2 linked regions of the Neodiprion lecontei genome follow. The main gene of each other region encodes a partner of the protein of the gene in region 2 in a complex. Links are inferred from orthologs where the notes say so. Each region holds a gene or a part of one and is shown on either strand. Other genes may lie near its edges.

The links.
Region 1: the proteins of NADH-ubiquinone oxidoreductase subunit 8 (region 2) and probable NADH dehydrogenase [ubiquinone] 1 alpha subcomplex subunit 12 are in contact, whole or in part, in a cryo-EM structure (PDB 8ESZ), measured with the Drosophila melanogaster proteins. The link is inferred for Neodiprion lecontei from reciprocal best matches to the Drosophila melanogaster genes ND-23 and ND-B17.2. Residues at the interface, in NP_524719.1 of Drosophila melanogaster: Glu85, Pro86, Ala87, Thr88, Ile89, Asn90, Pro92, Phe93, Glu94, Lys95, Gly96, Pro97, Leu98, Ser99, Pro100, Phe102, Arg110, Tyr111, Pro112, Ser113, Gly114, Glu136, Thr148, Arg149, Pro176, Asn177, Phe178, Glu179, Phe180, Ser181; in NP_001137770.1 of Drosophila melanogaster: Arg32, Asn33, Asp34, Asp35, Lys37, Phe58, Tyr59, Gly60, Arg61, Arg63, Trp64, Ile65, Phe67, Tyr75, Asp76, Gly77, Ser78, Ile80, Pro81, Ala82, Glu83, Tyr85, Gly86, Met88, His89, Tyr90, Lys91, Thr92, Cys101, Arg102.

The regions. Positions count from the first base shown.
Region 1 is NC_060263.1:15,074,632-15,087,784, forward strand, and holds probable NADH dehydrogenase [ubiquinone] 1 alpha subcomplex subunit 12, read right to left. Parts: upstream 5,211-13,153; 5' UTR 4,950-5,210; coding exon 4,855-4,949; intron 4,705-4,854; coding exon 4,622-4,704; intron 3,959-4,621; coding exon 3,720-3,958; 3' UTR 3,528-3,719; downstream 1-3,527. Other genes in the region: transcription elongation factor SPT5, read left to right, coding at 6,717-6,952, 8,409-8,500, 8,575-8,662, 8,763-8,930, 9,057-9,289, 9,366-9,864, 9,941-10,292, 10,378-10,743 and 5 more.
Region 2 is NC_060262.1:34,782,990-34,795,889, reverse strand, and holds NADH-ubiquinone oxidoreductase subunit 8, read left to right. Parts: upstream 1-7,492; 5' UTR 7,493-7,615; coding exon 7,616-7,646; intron 7,647-7,883; coding exon 7,884-8,148; intron 8,149-8,215; coding exon 8,216-8,408; intron 8,409-8,789; coding exon 8,790-8,921; 3' UTR 8,922-9,145; downstream 9,146-12,900. Other genes in the region: signal peptide peptidase-like 3, read right to left, coding at 3,354-3,422, 3,590-4,015, 4,150-4,493, 4,753-5,060, 5,205-5,233; vacuole membrane protein 1, read right to left, coding at 11,060-11,191, 11,314-11,583, 11,664-12,182, 12,455-12,808. UniProt on the Drosophila melanogaster protein: Core subunit of the mitochondrial membrane respiratory chain NADH dehydrogenase (Complex I) that is believed to belong to the minimal assembly required for catalysis. Complex I functions in the transfer of electrons from NADH to the respiratory chain.

The sequences.
Region 1 (13,153 bases), on a different chromosome or scaffold from region 2:
CCATTAGCTAATGATGCATATATTGAAAATCAAACGGCTATTATATTGCCTCATTTTATTTCCTCCTCCTCCTCGTCATCCTTCTCGTCATTATTTCCAACTGTGAACAAATTGTTCAACAACGAATCGTTTCATTTTTCCTTCCCTTATTTTTTATCCTGCAATAAATGCAGATCACTTTATCCTATTTTCAGGCACGAAAACTCAAGTAGGTATACTCTGATATTATACTTCAAAGTACAATGAGTGTTCTCCGCGGAATGCAGGAAACTGTCTCAACGATTCGTAGTTTCCTCTGACGTTATTACTTCTTGTCCGTGAATATCTAATAACTAATTGATTCCTAGAAGTATATGAAGAAGGAGAGAGGACGAAAAAGAGACAGAGACAGAGAGAGAGAGAGCCGTAAATTACGCATTAACACATACCGACCTCCTTCTGTCAAGGGAGAGACAAAATTCTCCCGTTTGTACATACGTAATATCTAATGATAATGGGAATAAAAACGAATACCCCGTTCCTATTATCCGCGTGTCTTCACTATAACTTAGGTGGGTGGTTTAACCGGTGCAAGGTGCGCACGTTCGTATATGTTTATGTGTATATGTAGTACATATGTACACCAGAGTGTACGGTGATTTTTTTTTTAAAAAGAATTAGTGATTCATCGCCGTACATGCGGTGTGTGGTATACATACATATATAAAACGAGAACGATTTCAATGCGTGGAAAACAGGTTTCGTGGGAACCGAGCGAGATTTAATAACATACGAATATGCACTCACAGGTGTTACGAGTGCCCATGTATTTGTATGTACATACGCGTCATAAATGGGATACATATTATATGCACAAAAATTGAAGAATCGGTAGCTAATTTGTGACGTAACGATGCATCGAAATGTTGCAAATAGGAATATATTGTGAACGCGCAACAACCTACATGTATGCAATGCGAATTCCTGCACGAACTACAGAGTCGAAGGAAGACGAAGTCACAGACGAAGAGACGAAGATGACGAATGAAAAGAACGAGGAAGAAACTTTAAAAGAGGAGAAGAAAAACGGAGGGCAAAATCTTTCTGTAGGTACGATAAATTCAGCTTCTCCCATGCTAATTCCAAGGTTAAACAGCAGTCAGAACTTAATCTCCATATTTATATTCTTGGCTGTGAGAAAAAGACGACAGAGTGGCGAAAAGGTGAGGAGGAAGAATCGTGAGTGAAATTAAAAAAAAAAAAAAATAAAAAAAGCCAGGGAAGAAAAAAATGCCCAACATTGCTGTATACATACAAATAGATAAACAAAAAACCGCAAACACGGGAGAAAAAAACAAGAAAAGTACACCCGTAACACCATACTCGAAGTTCTCGAAAGATGTTGCGTTCGCAAAATCAGTTGCAAAAAAAAAAAAATTATAAAAAATGATTGAAAAACTAGAAAATTTGGAATGAATTTTCCTTTTATACGAAAACATGTTTCCAGTTTACGAGGTCTCTTTACCAAATAAAATATGCCTGTCACATATAATATGGAAAATAGATAAAGGGACAGATGAACTTTGTGTGGATAAAATGTTACCCTAACGAAGCAGGTTTGCAGTTTTTAAATGAAAAATTTCTCAAAAGACGATCGCCTTTGAAATCAACTTGGGTAAAGCATCCCTTTTTCCTCGTTCTGATGATTTATGTCTAATTACGGCTAATTGTACAACAGCCAGAGCCTTGAAATAGAGCCGAGGGTGATAATTAATAGGAAGAAAATAAGGATGAGTGGCCACGAAGAAAGGAGAAGGGCGTCACGCTGCTCCTGATATTACTATTAATAAAAGATATATTGAGCAAAATTGATCGTTAATAAATGGACAAACACGAATACCGCTTACGACCGACGGGTAGATGGTTAAAGGCGGATAGTGGAAAAGAGACGAAGAAGGCGTCAACGCACGTATTAGACAGTACAATTAATTGGACGATATAATTGTTCTGCGGTACATGATGTCGCGGGTCAATTGCAAACAGCGGAGAGGGCGCGTATGATAGAATTTCGCAATCTAAATTTTCGGTTCGCTGGGCTTTCGTCGGCAGCGAATTTGTAACTAAACTATTCTTGCCGCGATTCTGTTCGGCGTGTAATAACGTCTGTAAAACGACCAGCGCTGGAAACCATTTTAGAGCCAAAATAGAATTCGAATCGAGAGGCAAACAGGGGCCATGTTGATTTTATACCATAATTCAAATTCATTTATCAAATGGTCGAGTATTTTCTTTTCGACTTTTCGGGTTGGTTTTGGAAACTGACCAGTCACACGTGTTTGACTCGTTCACATCTCAGAACAAATCGTGGTTCCAAGATTGTGCTTTGAAATTCGAGAATTGCATTTGTCTGCGAGAATAATACTCTTCAACTCATATTTACACTGTTTGCCCGACGATGTGGACGCGGTGCGTTCTTAAATTAGAATTACATAGCTGCGTCAGTGTTTAACTTACGCGCGAGCCCAACCCTGTACAAAGTCATTCGTTTCGACTGATTGCTAATTAAGGCACATCACTGGGGTTTCTCGCTGCGCGATCGATAATTCATTAATTTTTACATCAGAATCAGATAAACACGTTTATCGTAACACGTGCCGTAAATATATACATTTATAAAGTATGAATGTAAAAAGAAATTAATGTACCTCCATATACGTGTACGTATATGTATAAAGTGAGGATGAGAAAGTGGCTCATCGGTTGCGAGAGTTCGCGCCAGTTTTCGCCGGACATCACCGGATCCTGCCTGATCACCTTCAGCTTTCAATATGAATGCCGATTCACGTGCATTATGCTTATGCTGTGTGCAATACGTAGATTAAAATTTGTCCTTGCCTCGTCGCCCCATTTCCGATCAATTTTTACTCTTTTTTTTTCTGCAGCACCCATTCTCCTCTTCTCTACTACTACTATCTTCTTCGCATCTCGCGCGTTTTATGTTACAGAACAACGCCAGTTAACTCCTTATTTCTTCACATCGTTTTTTTCTTCTTCACTGTAGTCTTCTTCTTCTTCTTCTTCCACTTCCCTCACCGCCAAATCAGCTGTATGTGAAAGTCAAGGACTCTACGTAATAAGTGCAAAATAAAATCGGCAGCTACGCACGCAATTCATATCTTGAAATACAGCGCATGGTCGTAATTTCTTAATCCCACACCGCGTTATTTTCACTACAATAATAATGACAATAATAATAGAAATAACGTCAATACCGATAATTTGTGTCAATAATATTACTTATTATAACAACAAGTATTATTATTGTTTTCGTTATCAGCAAAAAATAGAGCAGGATCAGATTTGAAAATGCACTGAATTTGGAATAAAATTTTTCTTCTTTACCTTTGTGATATATATATATATATATATATATATATATATATATTAAATGATAAGAAATAAAAATTTGGGAAGATATCAATCATTCAAAGAACACCATGAGGATAGTCTGGTTCATATTTCATATATTGACACAATTTGTAAATATATTGAAGTTAATAGAGATGCGATTTATTTGCAACAATTGTACACACAGCGTACTATAATATATGTTACATATACGAAATAATTTAGCTAAGGGTTTCATTTCTTTTGCTTGTCTCTACGACTACGTTTTTCACGATTGTAATGCTTGTAAATTTATTTTCTACTTTCATCATACTCTAGATTTGGCAATAATCTTACTTGGGTTTCCACGCTTCAATTTTAGGACGAGTCGTACTATAAGGCATGTAAGCATCTCTCGTTCCCGTCATATTTTCTGTATGATCAAGCATCCACTTGTAGTTGGGACGAGATGGATCCTTGTATGGAGGTAGATCAGTCTTGTAATGCAACCAGCCGAACCATTCGGGAGGCACTTGAGATGCGTTGTAGTCTAGACCAACATGATCGGCATATTCAACCCAACGATTGCGTCCTAAAATGGCCCAACAAACGAGTTTTATCAATTACGAAGTTATAGAAAAAGAGAAGCAAACAGTTGGAAATGTTTGTAGTTTCATATTCGTAACAGAATTGTCACAAGGTATTAATTTACACAAGGTCAATATTATGGTCTGGCTCAAGGGCAATCTGGGGCAAAAGTAGGCGGTTATGTAATAAAAAATAAAACAGCCAAGTGAATTTGAAAAGTAGACGACATTGAAGCATTCTTTACTTCTTATTGCTTTCTTTCTCTTCTCCCTTTAACCGGTAAGTGGGTAGAAGAAAAAAGAACAAAGAAAAGAAAAGAAGAGAAGAGAAAAAGAAATTGCTTAAACCCAAGTCTTACAGCTCTTGTTTCAGCTAAGGATTGCGACTAAACAAAGCGTGTGCTTACACCTTTTGTATGCTGGGAATGTTGGATGTTGTAAACATTATTTGAAAATACAACGATATTTGGCTCCAGCTACAGTTAGCATCTTGTGAATCATGTGATGTATTTACTGCGCAGTAATAGCAGGTATAAATGTAAATATAAAACCGGTGATAGAAATTGGGAAAGAAGTAATTGAGAAATCTAAACTTCACCTAAGAACAAGATCGACAGAATAGGGTATAAGATGATGTTTCAGCATTAATTTAACAATATAATAATTACCATAAAAGTGCATGTTATTTTCGAAGTAGCGATTCCCGTATTTGTCCTCGCCAATCAAAGTTCCTGATTTCAATTCATCCCGTCTACAGAAAATAATGATAAAACAAGCGTTGATGGTAATACGTAACTCGAAGAGGCTTATCTTCATATTTTGATAGCATAAATGAACGTTAGTATAGGTTAGGTCGAAACAATATTCGACCAATAGTTAAAAAACGCTGTACGATACAAACCTGTACAGAGCTCGTAATGATCCTCGTATGCCACCATTATCTCTTACAATCTGGAAAAATCTCACGACTTTATCAACTCCAAAAAATTTCGCCATCTTTTTTAAATCAACAACGTTGACTGTCTGCTGCAGCTAGACATGTAAATGTTAACAAATTATGTAAATACAAAATGGCTGCGAGAAATTCGATACGCGGTTTAGAACCATAAGCTAAGCCATAGCTAAGCAATAAAGATGAATGACCAAATGATAGCGAATCTAAAATTTATAGCGATTCTTTAATTTATGTTTGGAATACGATTAAATAGTCTTCAATTCGTCAACATTGAATTTTTGGGATCTTATTGAAGATTCGCTAGTCCCAGAAGTTTGTCCAGTCCTTAGAGCATATACTATTGGAGGTAGCCTCACGGTTACAGAAAGTGTGACAGAGGCATGAGATGGAGTAGTTGTGCCATGTCCGCCATGTACAGCCTGTCTCTCTCGCTCTACAACCTGGTTCGCCGATACCTCTTTTCTCAGCCAATAAAATGCAAAGCGAGAGAGACAGAATATCCAGGGTAACCCGGGGAGCCCGGGGACATACCTATATCTCGCTGTTTCATCACTATGGCCACAGTTTTACGAGGTTACCGACAGCCCCCTGACAATCCAATTTTTTCGAGTCTATTTTGATCTCCCGCGCCACTGCGTGGCGCTAGTAGTCCTGCTCACAATGTGCGGGTCTACGTACGACCCGTTTGAATCTTGTTATTCCAAATTTATTATATAGAAATTACACATACTTATATCATAGCTAGAAAATGAAGTAGGAATTGATACAATAGAACCCTGACTTTATTATTATGTCCGTACATTTAATGGCTTTCCTCGACAATTCCAGGGTTTCGGGATCACACGGCACAGTAAAACAATGTAATTTTTCCGTGTTCGTTTGGTAGACAGAGGTACCGCCCGGTACAACAGGCGAAGGCATTGTAAACGTACGAATAAAAGCAATAAAAATCAGAAAGAACTATAGTTTATATCGGTTATATGCGTTATGTCGAGGTTAGAATCAACGTAAACAATGCTGACAGCAGATTTGCGGGCGGTGATTGTCGCCGGGGGGTGAAGTGGGGGTAGGGGTAGAGCAAGTTACTATCAGCGCTACGTAGCGGCGGGGGACGTTGAGGCGGACTGCCTGTTATATTGAAATCTAGTCGAGTGCCGGGGGGCTAGTTGCCGACATAGGTAGTCTGCAGTAGTCTATGCTCTAAGTACCGTTTCGAGCCAACTTCATACATACGCTTACATTCAGTTTGATTCAGTTACTCAGTGAATCTCGGTGAAGTGAGAGAAGCTTTGATAATTATTATCGAGTTGATTGCGATTGTACCATAATACTGTATTTTTCATAACTGTAACACAGTTGTTGGATAATATTCTTTTTCTGCTGTTAAGGTGAGTAAAATTTTAGAAAAACTTTTCTGGCGATCAACAGTAATTATTCCATACAATTGAAGAAATCATACTTTTGTCTCCATTTTTATACCTCATTCATGAGGTGCTGAGTGTGTATTTACCCACTAAACAAATCTCGGTAGTCCCCTAATTAAGGCTAAGAATCTTTGCCACTGTTGAAAACCGTCCAATTATCAGTGAGAATTTCTTTTCTTCACATTTAACCAGTCAAGTAACCTCACATATGGCTCAAACAGTTTCTAAATTATCTGTTGAAATGTTTACTCAATGCTTCAACTTCAGTACCACTCCAATTTCTTTGCACTATTGAGTATCACAAGCTGCAACCATATTTAAAGCTACTGCAATTATTACTCATGTATTTCAGGAGCGAAATTTCCACACCAAGAAATAAAGAAAATGTCAGATTCAGAGGCTAGTAATTTTTCGGACAATGACAGTGACGCGGGAGGCCGTGGTGGTGGTGGAAGTGAAAGCGAGCCTGAAGACAACCGTTCGGTAAAATCTGGAGTCGGTAGCGACGCAGGTAGTGGACACCGTTCTCGTAGCGTATCGAGAAGTAGGAGCAGAAGCAGATCAAGATCACAATCCAGAAGTCATTCAAGATCGAGATCACGCTCTCGTTCCGGTTCTGGGTTAGTAAATACTAAATTTGTGTTAAGCACCAAGTCATGCACAATAATCTTGTTCTTTTACAAAGGGACTTTATGCCAATGATATTTTTGTAAGTTTTGACACCTATGGTACTGAAAAGTGAGGTCTGAAATAACAATACCCCAAAGCCATTCGACCCCGCCGCATATAGTTTTCGAAAAAATCGATTTTGAATTACTACGAGCGTGTTATGTACATTAAACGGTAAGCATCCGACAGCAAGGTCCGTGGTACACCGGGTAGCGTACCAGGTGAGTAATCGTTGAATTGCTGATAAGTTTTTGCTCACATCACTTACTTGTCGATTTGATCAAATTTATGCTCATTGACAGATATTTCGTGATTTTCAATGACAAAGGCGGATCTTGCTTTCGCTTACCTCTCGTTTCAAAAGTTGGGCTTACTGTTGAAAATAGTAATTCCTAACCTCTAGAGGATCGGAAAACCGATATATCTGCTGACCCTGTGATATAAATTTTGTATATAGTTCATACATGATATCAGACACTAATTTGGGTACTTTTCAAGGGCTATTTTAACTCACAAATCCCGGGCGTCTAAAGGTTAACCAACAATATTTGTGATAAATTAAATTTTCATAAAAAATCTGCCAGCCTTCCTGAAATTCTACAGAAATGTTCTGTGCAGTTGCAGCTGTATCTCGCAAGTAGGTAATACTAGGAAATGGCTCGTTGGCCCATTGTAGGCCCACACGCTAGTATAACGTACCTGCTGAAATTCTTAATATTTGTCATAAATTAAATTTTCATACAAAACCTGCCAGCCTTCCTGAAATTCTGCAGAAATTCTCCCACAAGCCCATAATGGGCCGAACAGCGATATCCTAGAATTACCTACCTGCGGAACTCAGCTGCAATTGCACAGAAGATTTCTGCAGAATTTCAGGAAGGCTAGCAAGTTTTGTATAAAAATTCAATTTATCACAAACATTGTTGGTTAAGAATTACTATTTTCAATGGTAAGCCCGACTTTTAAAGCGAGAGGTAAGCAAAAGCAAGATCTGTCTCTGTCATTGAAAATCATGAAATGTCCGTTGATTAACATAAATTTGATCAAATCCGCACCTAAATAATGTGAGCCGACATATAAAAGAAAAAGTAAATGAATATAAAAAAGTTACTCATGGTAGTTATCGTACCAGCGATCCAGCGATTACTGGCCTAGTATGCTACCCGGTGTGCCATGGACCTTGCTGCCGGGTACTTACCATTTATTGTACATAACACGTTTGTAGTATTTCAAAATCGATTTTCTAGAAAACTGTAGGCCGTGTCGAACAGCTTTGGGTAATTGTTATTCGAGTTCTCACCTTTCAGTACCATAACTATGAAAAATTACAAAAATGTCATTGGTGTAGTGTCGCCTTGTTAAGCCGAAATTTAATTGTGAATAATATTTTTTCTTTCCATGCAAAAGTTCGGATGCTGGAGGTAGCCATCGAGCGGATGAGGCTGAAGAAGCTCATTCTGGTGATGATGAAGAAGTTGAGGCTGAGGAAGAACCAGAAGGTGAGTCTTTAACACAGTTGTGACTGATTTGATAAGGCAGATGTGATTATCGAGATCTCATGTACTTTTTTCAGGGGAAGATTTGGATGGTAGCAGTGATTATGACGAGGAGGAGTACGAGGATGACGACAGACCAAGCCGGAAAAAGAAGAAGAAAGACAAGTCAGTTACATGATCCGATCCATACATTAATTGATGATTTTTTAACTGATAATCCTTAAAGAAATACGGCATGTATTCCGTTTACCTGCTATTCTTACAGATTTGGTGGTTTTATTATCGACGAGGCTGAAGTGGATGACGAAGTTGAAGATGACGACGAATGGGAGGATGGAGCGCAGGAGATAGGAATTGTTGGAAACGAAGTGGACGAATTGGGGCCGACTGCACCTGAAATTGAGGGAAGACGTCGAGGCACAAATCTGTGGGAGTGAGTAAAAGGATAAGGATATAAAAATCAAGAAATACACGGAACAGTTTGCCAAATAACCACATCTATACCTGTGCAATAATCAGTGTTGACCAGTGTCTAACAATAGCTATCCCGCGAATTTAGTTCACAGAAAGAAGATGAAATTGAAGAGTACCTCAGAAAGAAATATGCCGACGAATCTGTCGTTTCGCGTCACTTTGGAGATGGGGGTGAAGAAATGAGCGATGAAATTACCCAGCAAACGCTTTTGCCTGGTGTGAAGGACCCCAATCTCTGGATGGTCAAGTGCCGTATCGGTGAAGAAAAAGCCACCGTGCTCTTACTCATGCGAAAATTCATAACATATCAGTTTTCAGGTACGATGGTTCAATTTCCCAATTGCAATATTTTATTTTTCCATTTGCTAAGCGCTCTTTCCTATTTAATTCGCAGGAGAACCATTGCAAATAAAGTCCGTTGTTGCGCCCGAGGGCGTTAAAGGTTATATTTACATCGAGGCATACAAACAGCCTCATGTAAAGGCCGTTATAGAAAACGTCGGTAATTTGAGAATGGGTATTTGGAAACAACAAATGGTTCCGATCAAGGAGATGACGGATGTACTGCGTGTCGTCAAGGAGCAAACTGGCTTGAAGGCAAAGCAATGGGTTCGTTTAAAGAGAGGAATATACAAGGATGACATAGCGCAAGTGGACTATGTGGATTTGGCGCAAAATCAAGTACATTTAAAACTGCTACCGAGAATAGACTACACGAGACCTCGAGGTGCCCTAAGAACTGCACAAAGTGAATCCGAGGCACTGAAACGCAAAAAGAAAAGACGACCACCGGCAAAACCTTTCGATCCAGAAGCGATCCGCGCAATCGGTGGAGAGGTGACCAGCGACGGAGACTTTTTAATATTTGAAGGGAACAGATACAGTCGAAAAGGGTTTGTTATTTTAATCACTTAAGCTCCGAGTTTCTAACACCAAAAAATTAGGTCTAACTGAACTTTTACCGTTTAGATTTCTCTACAAAAATTTCACGACAAGTGCCATTATCGCCGAAGGTGTTAAACCGACGCTCTCTGAACTGGAGAGATTTGAAGAAGCTCCCGAGGGTATAGACATAGAACTAAGCGGCACTCCGACTACAGGAGTTTCTGCCGGTAAAGAGGATCAGGCAGTTACTCATTCATTCAGTAATGGCGACAATGTAGAAGTTTGCGAGGGAGAATTGATGAATTTACAAGGAAAAATTGTATCAATTGATGGTAACATGATAATGGTCATGCCAAAGCACGAGGAACTCAAAGAAGCCTTAGAATTCCAGGCAAATGAGTTAAGAAAATACTTTAGAATGGGAGATCATGCAAAGGTAATCTTTTTACAAATCTTGGATTCCGTATTTGTATTATCTTTTATTCAAACGGTTCCAAATTGTCAATTTTTCAAATTTGCAGGTAGTAGCTGGTAGATACGAAGGAGACACGGGGCTGATTGTACGTGTCGAACAAAATAGGGTTGTTCTTTTTTCCGATTTATCAATGCACGAGCTAGAGGTACTCCCACGAGATCTACAACTTTGTTCTGACATGGCAACCGGCGTTGACAGTCTGGGTCAATTTCAATGGGGTGATTTAGTACAGCTCGATGTTCAGACCGTCGGTGTAATCGTTCGATTGGAGCGCGAGAATTTTCACGTATTATCGATGAACGGAAAAGTAGTCGAGGCGAGACCTCAAGGTCTTACAAAGCGTCGTGAAAACAGAAACGCAGTCGCGTTAGATTCGCAGCAAAACACGATCCAGAAAAAGGATATAGTGAAGGTATGTTTTCGGATTTTCTAAGAACATCGAGTCCAAAAAATGTATCCAAAATGTTAACACAATTCTCAAATTAACTTGAAAGGTAATCGATGGACCGCACGCAGGCAGAGGAGGTGAGATCAAGCATCTTTACAGAAGTTTCGCGTTTCTGCACTCGAGAATGTATCTGGACAACGGAGGAATATTCGTATGTAAAACTAGACACCTTCAGCTAGCTGGAGGCAACAAAGCTGGAATGGGCCCTGCGATGTCGCCATCGTCCGGATTTATGTCTCCCAGAATCGCATCACCGATGCATCCAAGTGGGTAGGTATCTAAAATGAGAATTCTTGCCGCAAAAATCGTATGTACTTCTCTCAAGAAAAATTTAACCAATGAATTTACGCTCTCATTTAACCAGTGGCGGGTTCGGAAGAGGTGGCGGAGGTGGCGGAAGAGGCAGAGGCCGAGGTGGAGGTGCGAGACGTGACAGAGAGCTGATCGGAACAACGATAAAGATAACGGGTGGGCCATACAAAGGTAACGTTGGAATAGTAAAAGACGCAACAGAGAATACGGCGCGTGTAGAACTTCACTCGACGTGTCAAACGATATCTGTGGATCGTTCACACATTGCGAACGTTGGCGTGCCGACCAAGGATGGTGGATTCAGTAGCTACAACCGGACCCCGGCTTACACGGCCGGTGGTCAGACTCCAATGTACGCTAGAGATGGTTCAAAGACTCCGATGCACGGTTCGCAAACGCCGATGTACGAAAGTGAGTACTGAAAAAATCTAAAACACCGTTTATACTACGGTGAATGATCAGTGAAAACACAACAGTGGCAAATGTCATTCAACTTGTTCTATTTTTGCAGACGGCTCGCGCACGCCTCATTATGGCTCGATGACCCCTTCGCACGACGGTTCTCGTACCCCTGGTCAATCAGGAGCATGGGACCCGGCTGTGACAAACACGCCAGCGCGAGCGAACGATTTCGACAATTACAGCATGGAAGAAGGAGGGTCTCCGGGTTACGCTCCTGGCTACCCTTCGACTGGCGGTCCGTTCACACCCCAAACACCCGGGACAATGTACGGTTCAGAGCAGAGCTACAGTCCCTATCAGCCGAGTCCTAGTCCGGCTGCAAGCGCAAGCGCAAGTCCGAGTCCAGCCGGTTATGTGGCCACCCCATCTCCCTCGGGAACTGGATACACTACGAGTCCGCACGGCGCGTTTGCATCGCCGTCACCGATGGGTTATAGCCCGATGACGCCTGGTAAATTAATAAAAATTTATGGGAAATTCTCTGCATGTTTTTTTCCACTAGTTCAAACTCCTTTGTATAATTTTTTCACTCGAATATACAGGCGTTGCGGGCAGTCCTTACAACCCTCAAACACCCGGCGCCGGACTTGACACTGGGGCTAGTAGTGGTATGATGATGGGCTCGGAATGGCATACCCCGGATATAGAAGTACGGATACGCGATACTCACCAGGATCCGGCTCTAGCAGGACAGCAAGGAGTAATCCGTGGAATATCGGTAAGTTATACTTGAGTGAAAAACGTCACAGTCGTCAACAAATTACATCAGCTTTAAACTTTCACCATTGCAAGAAGATTAAGAATGTGCACAAACTGATACCAAAATCATTACGTAATATCGCTTAGTTTCTTTGTAACAAATAAACTATTCCACATTTTTTTTACAGGGTGGTATGTGCGCAGTTTTTCTGCCTGCCGAAGACAGAGTGGTGAATCTTTTATGCGAGCAACTAGAGCCTGTCGTTCCATCTCGCGGCGATCAGGTCAAAGTTGTCGTCGGCGAAGATAGAGAAGCAGTAGGAATTCTTCTTTCTATTGATAATCAAGAAGGGGTCGTTAAACTTAGTACAGACGCTGTTAAGATGCTGCACCTGCGATTTCTGTGTAAAATGAAGGCTTCTACGACTTAATAAGCTATCACGAGTGTCTTGTTACAGAGTCGGATAATACGTTGCATTCTCAGTTTTTAAAAGAGACCCGTGCAGACGTTAATCTTAGGAAATAAGTTATTTTAGGGGCAATTCGTTCCGCGTCGAATATCTACAGCAATCTTAGTCTTATGTACCACGCAAAGTTTGATACAAGTTAATACAATAATTCTACTGGAACAGATCAATTTTAGTATGAAAAGAAAATGTAAATAAAGTAACGCTGCCCACAAAAAGGATTCAAAAATCTTCATTCAAAATATTCTAAGCTACGAACTTGCAAAAAATCTCAGTTGGATCATTCATTGCGCTCATTCGGATTCGGTAAAATTTAAAAACAGAATTAATTGTATCTTACAAACGTCTGCAAGTGTCGAAACTCTAACATTATGAGAATGCATTAAGTTGTTTTGCATTCAAGATTTGCGATAATTACTCGTTACGTATAGTAC
Region 2 (12,900 bases):
CTTCAATGACTCATATGTATTTATAACCAATTGTTGCGATATTCGACTTTATCCTACTCCCTTGCATTTTTAATCGTTTAACAGACAATTATGCATTGGATTTATGAAGAAATCTTGATTGCAGCTGAAATCATCGTATCTTGAAGTCGGTCGGGTGGCAAACACTCAAGGGTACGGTTAGTGATCGGCTGTGAAAGTGTACCGTTCGAGGGTTAAAGATCTGAGATTTCTGTCATACAATTGGAAGCAATTATAATTTAGTGAGGTCCAAAATAAATTTATAAAGCTATTGGAACACAAAGTTTAATTTATGGAACATTATGTTTGGCATTTAGAGTCAACCATTCTGGTCAACTTTCAATTTTATATTGAAATTACATAATATCAAGTAACTGCTGACAGTAAGGGTGAAGTTCATGCAATGAACGATATGCTATCTTTTAAAACTTTGAAATCTCAATAAATTAATCAAGCATTGCATTTGTATGATAATTTAGAATCTTGAGATTGTAATTCTAAACCACATTTTTGATGCATTTGGTTATAGATTATAGATCAACAACAGTGTTTAATTTTTTTAAAGACATAAGAGTCGTCTTTGAGTTGTAACAGACTTAAGAAAATTTGATTGTACATATTATATATACTTAAACTCTATTTTTTCAATATCAACACGTAATTTGATGTCAAAATACTATTTTTCTGATGATCAATGAACCGTCATTTGCTTGGCTTGGTCGGCACACAGGAGCTTAAAGTTTTTTTATCAATGTTTCTCATGTAATAATGAACCTATTGATTTAGGTATTATTGACAAAGATGCAATTCTTCATATACAAGTGTTATTTTAATGTTTGACCTTAATTCATCATTCTCCACATATTCCTCATTTTAAAATTAAGTCAATAAGTGAAACGTAGCAGTCTCTTGCAAGGGTACGATGTTTGTTCGAAATATCTGGCAAGGAGAAAGTTGAATATTTTCAATACATGTATGAATTCATGTATATGTATATATATTTATTTTATTCCAAAAGTAATTTGAATATCATTGTGTGTGATCATTCATTTTACTTTTGAATAAATTCAAATCGATTTCTTCTCAAAACATTAATATCAACACATCATTTTACTTATATAGGATCTATTTTTCTGTGCTAATATTAAGTTAGCAAATAAATAAAGTTGCAGATGTAAGTTACAGAATAGTTGATTGTTATTCTAGGTTTGCACGCTGTAATTTCTGATAATTAACGTATGAATTGGGGTAAGACTAGTATGTGCATAACTGCTGAAATGCATTCAGGGGATTCATAGATAGAAAGAACCATAGATTACCCATTGATAACACGTTATAATAAATTTTCTAACTTGACTGAATAACTCGACGAGCTATAAGGAGTGTGCCTCAATTTTCTTCAATATCAAGAAACAATATTATATTCACCAAAATCGCGTACTACCGTTGTCACACAAGCAATTATGTTTCGTTACCTACTTTTATTGCTCCTGAAAATGATGAAATTCAATATTTTTTTGTAGACTTTTATGTAGGGAAATATTTAATATTTCCAATGCAAGAGATTTCTTTCCTTGTCCGTAACTTCGTGCAACAATTTTACTTAAATAACTTCAACTTTTTGCGATGTCGGATAATTCTAGATAATCTTAAAACATTAAAAATTATCATATATGTGTGTGTGCGTGTATTTACCTATGTATGTACTTATGTACGTACGTATGTATGTATGCATGTATATATGTATGTATGTACAGAAAAGTTGTTTTGTATGAAACTAAAGCGGTTTTAAAATAAAGTCACAACCTGCACACTTCTTCACTGGATGCACTTGCGAAATCGTCAAATGATCACTTATAGTCATAACTCTAATAATATGTTACGTACACTTTCAAATTATAATCGTTCCATAATAAATTAAAACACATTTTTTCTGTATGAATTATGTACCTTTAGTGTTTACATTCAAATAATAGTATGATAGACCAAAAGGTACTGGATGACAGGGAGTAATTAATAGTATAAAAATAAAAAAATTAATCTGTTCGCTGACTCAGCTTCTCGATAAATACCTAATTTGACTAAATCTGCACCGGCAGTCTTAGAAATTCTGGGATGCCACCAACAGTAACAAATTTACCAAATGATCTATCTGATATAATCTCTAAATTGCTGGAGAGTGCAACAATCTAACGTAAATATTCAACAATATAACAAATGAAATACGCTTAATGAATGATAATACTTATCATAAATCACGCATAACTTTAGATTACAACTCAGAAAATGATTTTCACAAAAATGAATGTGAATTAAAATTCTTCACATTAGCAAATTTTTGTTTTGCTCTATTACGTTAATGAGTTTTAGCTACAGAATGCTATACAAGTCTACCATCACATTATATTTCAGAATCGATCATACAAATTCATTGAATGTTTTAAATGCTCGTGACATTATTGCGTTAAATGAAAGAAATGACTTTTGAAAATATTTTGTAAGGTTTAAGAAATACTATATTAACAAAGCAAACAGTAGAATGACCAAAATCTATTCTAATATAAACTTTGCACAGTTGTTATTCTATTAAACCGTATAATTATACCTTTTGCCACAAACCATATTTTTGTAGATTTACTTTTGAAAAAGGGACTTGAAGTAATATACGTATAATTTTGATACATGCAGCTGTGTCGTACAGTGCACCAACGTGTATATTTTTTGGGTTTTTGAGGAATTGAAGGAAACATTTTCTATTGTTATTAAATTTAGAATAGGTATTACTGTAATTACACGTTAAAACCAAAGTCGACATGCAAGATAATTATCTCTACATGTCATATAACTCTTAATCACTTCAAAGCCAAATTAAGTAATTGAGATACATAATAATAAATTACCTATATCACGTGTAAAATGCGAAAACTAGAAATTGCAATAAACTGCTAATTATTAGTTCTCCTGTAATCCAGTACCATTTTCCCCAGCTAGTAATGTCAGAAAAAATTAAATTGAACTATACAATCTACCCATAATACAACGATTGATTATTAACAAGCAGTCCAATTGCATAGATTCTCTGACGTCAATTATTGTTTCATTATTTTTTTTGGGTCAAAAGTAATAACACAAACAATTCTTTCTTCTTTTTCAAATTCGACACTGCACTTATGCGCTACTCCACTGCGCATGAATAAAATAGTAAATGGGGAAAAAAATTACTTACACAAAATGATGTTGATGAAAAAAAGATAATGATCTTGAATGACAGCGAAATTCTCACGATACATGTTTATGTGGTGGAAATTGTGATTTGGCATGGATCGTGACAGCTGTCAAACTTCCATATGTTTCGAAGGTGGATGAGTTATAAACGGTTCACTCCACATGCGACGTAAATCCCCCTGTAATGTATAAAATTAGGAGCCTTCAATAAAAATATCAAACAGTTAATTGTAGTAGAAATGAAATCAACATTCTTCATTGAGTAAAGATTTGGTTACTACTTCCCATTTCTCATTGAGAGGGAAAGAAGAATACGTTCAAGCGTACCAAACATTAAAATTATTACCTTCAGATAAGCCATGGTAAGTAGTGGCAGTAGTGTGAAAGGTACGAGGTAGAGGAGTGCTGGTTGGGCTGCTTTGAAGACTTCGGAACTGACGGTTGCAGTGAGTAGTCCAAGAAAGTAGCCAATCAACGAACAATGGAAGTAACTAATGCGACTTAAATGGCGTGGCGGAGGAACACCTGTTTCACAACCGCCCGGCAATAACTGGCTTTTTTTATATGCATCATAACGTAGGACGAAACAGAGCAGTAAACCTGGCATAACCACGTCTCCAAGACCCAGCATTGAAAAATGCCCTGCTTGATGCATAGATGGGAATACTAGCTTGCCAGGTAGAGAGAGTTTAGGAGCTTCTCTGGCTACACCTCCTAAATGCAATCTACGTGCCACCAAACCGACTGGATTATCTGCAGGGCGTGTTGCGACCTGTGGAAGATAAATGTTGATGTAATGAATATTTGGATACAATAATAAATAAAGTATAATCATCTTTCGTAGAAATCTAAACATTATCTGCATGAAAGTTCGTGGTTTTGATCACCTGTAAGCCAAGTACCAACCTTAACCATGACGTTTGTGCTGAATATATAGGACGAGAAGAAGACCCAAAAAACATCATATATGAGGAGTCCCGTTAAAAGTAAAGTGGAAACTTTGAGACTTGGCAATCGGACAAATGCTATGAATGCGACGCACAGACCCATTCCCATGGCATCCATCAACAACCAATGACCAGTGAGTACCCAGATGCACACGATGCTCACGCTCAGGGAAAATGACAGTAGCTCCGCACCTGTGAATCTCCCACACATACCAAACGATATTTTGTTCCCATCAGAACAAGGTCGGATGATATATTGACACATTGGTAACAGCAAGAAAGCCAGCGCTACCGTAGCTATAACTGGAACAAAAACATGAAAATGTTTTCAATGCTTTGGCAGTGAAATTTCCAATTTTCGATTATACTGAGGTGGCAACATTCTCATCTGAGAAAAATTTAAGTGAGCTAATCAACGATTAATTTACTTCTAGTACACAAACAGCACAGTTTGATTATTATGTATAAACCATACGTATTGTATGTATGAGGGATTGGGAGGAAAAATGAAAATTTATCTTTTCTTTTCGAATAAACTATTGCATATTAAAGTAATACTCACTTGCAGTGCATATTGCAAAGAGCATTTGCATGCTGTCGAAGAAAAAGAACATGATCAGAAGGGAAACTGAAGCTCCGAGAGGCAAACATAGAGCGTGCATAGTTTCTAGAGTTTGAACGCCTCCGCCATTAGCACAATCGGAAGGTCCCGTGCTAACTATTCCTGACAGCAAATTAGTTCGTTCTTTCTCTTTCTCTCTTTCTCTGGCTTCTTGTTCCATGTTTAGTGATCGAAAACTGCCGTATACAATCAACAAAATTGATATCAAAAATGTTGAAACTCTGGAAGAATCCATGATGGAATAAGCCCTGTAAAAATGTGAAAAAGCTATTTGTATATCTGATGGCGTCTTATAACCATATTTTCTATTATGCATACCTATGTATTTATATCGTGCATTTAAATAAATATTTCACATCTGACTCATGACTGACAAAACTTTTTGTACTCACCACTGATAATCCACTTGATTTGTGGCCATCTTTGACGAGCCTATGGCCGTAGCTCTAAATGCTATACTGAAACACTGCGTGTCATTTAGATTTCCTTTTCCATCCGAGCTGAGTGGTTCCTTAGATCATCTACAGCCACAGCTGAAAACAAAGTTCAATAGGAATCAGCGGAAGATGAATGAAAACTGTATTTCATAAATATAAAATATAGTTAACAAAGAAAGTTTTTAATTCTACAGTTTGTTCAGTCATCGCCAATTTTACTCCAGCTAATTCAAAACGGACATAACAAAATATGCAATATAATTATTCAAGAATGTATCAAACTGAATTGAACACTAGATCTGTATATTAGGCCAAATCGATTTAAAAGTTGATATTGGGATTTATATTTTTAAAGTTTTCTGGCAATAAGACTAACTTTGTACTCGTGCAATGACCAAGGGGTAAAATAATGAACAATAATCATACTATTCATCTGTATTGAACTGCTGTATTTATGAGTAAGGACGATACTGAACTGAAACCCAATAGATTGTTCTTAATTATAATAACATTGAATTTACTTAATTTATTATGTAAATTGAACTCGCTATTTTTTTAACAATTGAAATTTTTTCAGGTGAAATGTTATTGTTAGATCTGTGTGCACAATTGGTGCAGTCATATAGCTATGTACACATTGAAAAGTTTATCAGCCGCAAACTTAAAAAGACGTGCCGTCCTGAAGTGTAAATAACAGGGTCGACTTGTCCTTTTGAACTTCATTGACACGAATTCATTCGAGAGAATCACAACAAAAGCAGGTGAGCTTGAACTAATATTGTAGATATGTACAACAGTCACAACATGTGAAACAATGTTGGTAAGCAGCATCAGTGGTAAGCGTAAAGAGAATAAAGATGGAGAAAAAAAAAATTATATTGACAGCAAACTATAGCACATTACCTAGAATTAAAGAATCTCAGCATAACAGCAGGTGCAGTACCGTGTAGTTCTTTAAAGCCATTCAAGACCTTCGTCTAGCACCTGCCACACAAATACACACCGTAAAGTTGCACCCAAAATGGAGTTCATTGTCCGTGATAATTCTACAATGAGATGACAAAAAAATCACAGCTGTAAGATAAATACTCGATAATAACGTGAACGGTGGATAATGAGCGAAAGGTGGCGAAAATGGAAGAATCTAGTCAGTTTATCTAGTCTATTTCTGCTCAGCAGTTCCGTGTTGATTGAGAGAATGCTCGGTAGTTCAACGATGCTAGTTCGTCTTGAAAACATTCGCATCGTAACTGATGCGAGAAAGGACATCCGTTGGGTATCAGTAATGAGACATTAACACTCGGAAACAATAGGCGGGACCTTATTTAATCATTTTTAGAACTTAAAAATTCTTGCAAAACAGTAAGAACACCATTTTGGTAAACATAAGGGTCACGTGACCCTTTGGCACCATGGAGTAAGGAACGAGGCTCTTGCTGATACCCTAGATCGGATTTCTCTTGTCGAAATTTTTCATCGAGCCAACTTCCCCTACCCTATGTCATACCGAGATTGGGTCTTTGAATAGAGATAAATAATTACACGCCAATCACCTCATCGATACTTATGAAAATATTTTCCGTCCACCATGCACCGAGAATAAAAACTTCCGAGGAATTGACACAACAATCTAACCCACCAAGCGTGAAATCGGGAATACGGGACCTCAGCAGTGAAGCTACCTACCGCTGACAGGCGCAGCTCGACTGTGCAATGCGTTTACGCGGTGTGCCTCGGCATGACATGCCTGTACACATGCAACCTTTGCACATGTTGCGTTTAGACATGATCGTATTCACGTTATTTTAATACGATATGATGGATTTTCACGCGTAGCCCGCTGATTATGCTGTGATAGTACTATTATGTGTAGTAATTTGTATGATATCAGTTGATATTATAGAAACATGCTGTCTGTGCAAAGATTGTGCGGTCTCAACTATATACAGCTAATTAGGAAATAGAAAGCCGCACAATTGTGTGCGAATTATGTTATATAAATATGTACGGCACTGGCAAAACAACGTTATAATTACGAGCCGACTGTTGTCTCAGATGAACGCAAAATTTGGGCATTATTTTATCCTTGGCCCATCACTTAATGCACAGTGAATTATTTTTTCATGCTACTCGACGTTAACTGCGTAGCACATTACCCAAAACCGACCGTGGTTTCGTGATAACTGATAACTTATTATCCCTCAAATAGAATCATAAAATTGAACTTTCCATTTTTCGAATGCACTACGAATTGCGCATGCATGCGTATTTCTTCTTTCGCCCCTCCAGCCGTTGTACCAACACTCACATGAAATTTGTTAACTTCACTCGCATTGGCACACAGATTTTTTTAAAAGGTAGCGGCCATGGCGACCGTGCAGATCTTTCGACAGACTGGTAATAATAATTTCATTAAAACCCGCAAACACAATTGTCATTGAATAAAATTTTACGTTCTGGCCAATGGCCTTTGTTTGAAGTCGAAATCCATTAACCAAGTTCTGTGTAAAGTGAAGATTATTGTGTAATAGGTTCATAACCTCAAAACCGTTATGAAATACTAATTTTACTATTATTTGGCAATATCTTCTAAAGAAATTTACATACGTCTTTTGAAAAATATCTGAATTTTAGGTAAGCAGCTTCTGGGTGCAGCTCGCTGTGCAGTTGCTACCAGTCCTTCGATTCGGAACAAGTACTACATTGTTACTCCACCAGAGGAGTCGATGGAATGGAATGATGTTACGGATCGCGCAGTGAACAATATGTTCCTCTTAGAAATCTTTCGAGGAATGGGAATCACTTTTTCTTATTTGCTAAGAGAACCAGCTACTATAAATTATCCTTTTGAAAAGGGACCTTTAAGCCCTAGATTCAGAGGAGAGCACGCGCTAAGAAGGTGACTATTTCAAGCTTTAATCACTTGTTATTAGTCAAGTTGTTATCATTACTAAAATTTTGTAAAGGTACCCATCAGGCGAAGAAAGATGTATCGCATGTAAACTATGTGAGGCTATTTGTCCAGCTCAGGCAATTACAATTGAGGCAGAGGAAAGGCCAGACGGTTCTAGACGCACAACTCGTTATGACATAGATATGACCAAGTGCATTTATTGCGGGTTCTGCCAGGAAGCTTGTCCTGTTGATGCCATCGTGGAGGTATGAAAGAATAGGCATATTTTTAAATCTTACCTCATTTGACTTTTGATTGCCTTAGTAACATTTCGTTTCGCTTAAGGTTATGAACACGATATAAATTGATACACTATCAAAAATCAGCCTAAGCATACTTTATGCTAACGAATGAGCGCACTAGTTTTCGTTGAAATGAACTATTGACATCTAAGATTCGAAATATTGATCACTCTCACAGAAAGTTAATACTTTTATACAAAAGATGGCATTTTGTAAAGGTATTAGACGAAGAGAAGGCATTAAATAAGGCATTATTCTGTTAAAAAAAAAAATTAAACACGTTCTGTTGCTAACTGGAACTTCATTTATAATTTAATGAAATTCAATTATTAATTCTTTCTTCAGGGACCTAACTTCGAGTTCTCCACTGAAACTCACGAAGAAATGTTATATAATAAAGAGAAGCTACTCAACAATGGAGATAAATGGGAATCTGAAATAGCTGCAAATATTCAAGCAGATCACCTTTATCGCTGAACCAAGTTCAACTACTTAGTCATCTTGTAAAATCCAAATAAACGTAAAATCTAGTAAAATAATACAAGCTGTTGTTGAATGTAAATACTACTTACTTATTTTAACTTGCAATACAGTAGGCAATGGCTACTCTTGTAATTAGGGAGTCACCAAATGCTCCTTGCCCCAAACTCTGTGAAGCAGTACGTCGATGATAACTTGAAAAATAAAAGTTTTAGACAGATTGTCTGTTTTGAGTTTTTTTTTCTTTTTTTTTAAATTACTATACCTTTTATTTTTAATCATATTCAATTGCATACGAATGTGTCCAGACATTTCACACTTACATTACACAGATTACTCGGGAAGCACGCCACTTATTTCTATAATAATAAATAATAATTACATATCAATAATAACAACAATATATATAAACAACAATAATGTGTTGATCAAATAATATTCTAATCACCTGATACAGTACACATTATTTAGTTGTAATTTTGGAACTAAATTTTATTCTAATGAAGAATGTCATTTATTAACAATCATTCTGCTGAACACGTTCTTAGTTTCTTGTTGACCGTTCTAATCGGTGCGACATAATTCATTGCTTCACCATAATGGTATTACCTAATTGATTCCCGTAGCTATTTAAATTAAATCACTTTTACGGAATTCTATAATTGTTTTTTTTCCGGTCGGATGTAGTTTTAAAAAATATCGAAAATGTATTTCAATAGGTACTGATGTTCGATTTTTTCTATCTGCAACACCATGTTAAAAATCAGGATAGTAAATTGTTCGCTAGTAGTTTGATAATAATGCCTAGCCTATGACCTATTTTATCGTTTGAGTAATACAAATGGCAGACAATATCCGCCTCTTATCTAACTATGTCTTTATAGATTTCTTTCAAATTGCATATTTCGCTTCCTTACTTTTAGATGTTACCATTTACGCCCAAGAACACGGTTGAAAATAACGATTCACCCATACAGTGTGAGTGTGTGTCCAATGATTTTTAAATCTTTTGTGATTTTATGAAAAAAATTTGAATTAGATACAGAGATGCCTATATTACAAATAACTATTATATATGAAAATCCCCGCGTTCATACAAAAAGTGTAGTGGTATCTTTATGACTTCTTACTTTTTGCAGATCAAGCACGCAAAATTTTCTTACTCACAATACCGTTGATTTTCTTTTATTTTCCCACCATGAAATCACTGCGTAATACTGCATCAAATGTAGGGATCTGGCTTTAGGATAAATAAAAATCCAATTTATGATTTGTCCTATGGTTCTGCGGTTCCATTACTATATTGACGCATTAAGATTACCGTGGACTGTTACAGTTCATAAATTAACTATGCTTATGTCTATAATGATCAAGGCCTTTATATGTCGATGTGGATTACTTTGACGCAACACAAATACTACGTGCGACGAGTGTATTGAAGTCTTTAAATAACATCATTTATCAAGTTCTTGAAAATCACAAGTCTTCCATTAAAAATGGAAAGTTTATATTGTTGTGATATTGGCTATTAGGTACAGTATAAGCATACGGACAATGTAAAAATGAAATACCAATTCATATAGTAGACTTTGTGTCGCTTCAGTAACTTCAGAAAGCATCCCATTGCGACATGTACTTAGTTTTTATGCCATGTTTAGCTGGACATGTCTATTGATGTACCAGGCTCAACTTATATGTACTACCTTAAACCCAAAAGTACTATTTATGAAAAAAAAAATCACCCTCTCAATGACATTTGTAATTAGGAAATAATAAATAATTTTGCCTTTCTGTATTACCAGAATAAGCCCCAACTAACAACATGATCTTCACTCATTGCTAGTAGCACACCAATTGAGCAAACCATTCTTTTTAGTATCCGCTCTAACATGTATACCTAGATTGGCTAACCTAGCTACATAGGTATCAAAATATGAAATGATATCTCACATGATATCTGTTAGTCATTGTTCATTTCTGCGCATAATAATCGACGAGTAGTTCTTTTCATTTTTGGAAAATACTCGAATCATCTATGCACGTCTTTGCCTATGGTGTAAGTTTCTATTCCATCAGTGCTACCTCCCACCGTTTAAGAGTTATTTTTCAGTCCGTGTTCAATTTTCTTCTAAAGATTAATCAGTTGACGACTTTGTACGTCGACGATGGTGGTTACGTGCCAAAGCATGTATAATTGTGACGAGAAAGTAGCACACCATCAACATGACGAACTTGTCAAAGAGCCAAGAAATTGTTGTAGATCCTTCCTAAAAGTGCAAATCATTGATTATACAGTATTTGCATAGCCGAAATAAATTGCATTCATTCGAAATCTAAGTAAAATAAGATACCAAATCAACATAATATTGATCATTATTTTGATACTTACTATAGAGGATTTGTCATGCAATTTTTGTTTCTGTTCAATAAGATACCGCTTCAAGGGTTCTTGAAACTTTGGGCCAATGACTGGAATAATTGCTAACAAAGCAATTACTTTATCTAAAAGTTCCTCGTTGAATGCCACAATTACTGCTAATTGCTGTATGTGCATTTTTACTACAGCTTTTCCGACTAGTGTTGCACCAAAAAAAGTCCAGAATGGAATAAGATAGTGTCCACAAGTTAATCCGGCAAGATCGAACAACGGATTTGGTATCTATAATGCAAATATTTAATTACAATCGCAAGTTTCACTTTTATCGTGAAATAAATGGATATTGGGTATTGTAAAATTACCGATGCACAAGCAAGTATTCCTAAGAAGCCAGCCTTTTGGACAAAATGTTTCATTGCTAGTTTGGCACGCATTCCCAATGAAACACATTTTTCTCCATTTTCCAGTGCCTCCAATGCTTCGAGTTCTCTCAACTCTTCTTGATCCTGACCTTGGTCGTGATCTTTATCGCTTTGCCGACTAAGTCGTGCAGCTCGTGCCATAAAATAAGGTGGCAATTCCCCCAAAGCTGTACCAGCACCCCACAGCATTGCTTCAATGCGTACTTTTCTCATGATATTCAAGACGCTGGCCGTCCATGCTGGATCTACTGTAGATGGACACACGATCTGGTCTGGATAAGGAGGCTCGGGAAAATTTAACCCTCCGCATTCATAAGCTGCCATCGTCACAGAGGCTATGTGAGGTCCCAAGTACAAGACAAAAGTGTGAAGCCCAGTTCCCAGGCCAACGCTCGATAATACGCCTAGTCCTACCCAGTAGAACCACCATACGACGGTGGCCTCCCAGGATTTAAACAGCTGTGGTAACCAGGTTAAATAAGTTCGGGTTGATCCACTTGTACGATAGATATATTTTTACATTGAAATCTATTATTTATTTAATATAAGTCTGTGGTGCTCTTTTTTTTGTTTCGAAACTACACACTAGAATTTTGCAGAAGAAAATATGAAACTTCAATGCTCTGTTCTCATTGTTTAATAAAGGTCTAGTAATATCTAAATATATTAAAAATTATCTAAAGTTTTGGTATTAATCATAGTTATATGGATATTCAAAAATATAATCTCACCTGTTGTTGTGGTCCAGAGACTCTGCTCGAAAGTAAAAATAATCCGGCGATCATTATTATACTCCATACTGTTTTTCTATATTTGAAAGTGTTTTTTGTTAAACTAACAACATTGATAAGTAATTCTTGTAGAAAAAAGTTCAATGTTTTTATTGGATGATGCCATAGCGTTAAGCTATCGGGATCTACATCCAAATCACTGTTTTGGTTGGAATGCAAATGCGATTGTGAAGTATGGGAGGATTTCTTTGCTGCCGGTGTACTTTGTCGAGTACCATTTGTAGCAGTTGAAGTATCCTTAGTACGTCTGACGGCTGATGTGTTCTCCGACATTGTAGCTCCCAACCGATTTATCTGATGGTTAAAAACAAGAATGATTCAACGAAAATTGTAAGTTGAACAAGAGAATTTTCCATTATTAGTAACATCTATGCTAGGTCAAAATT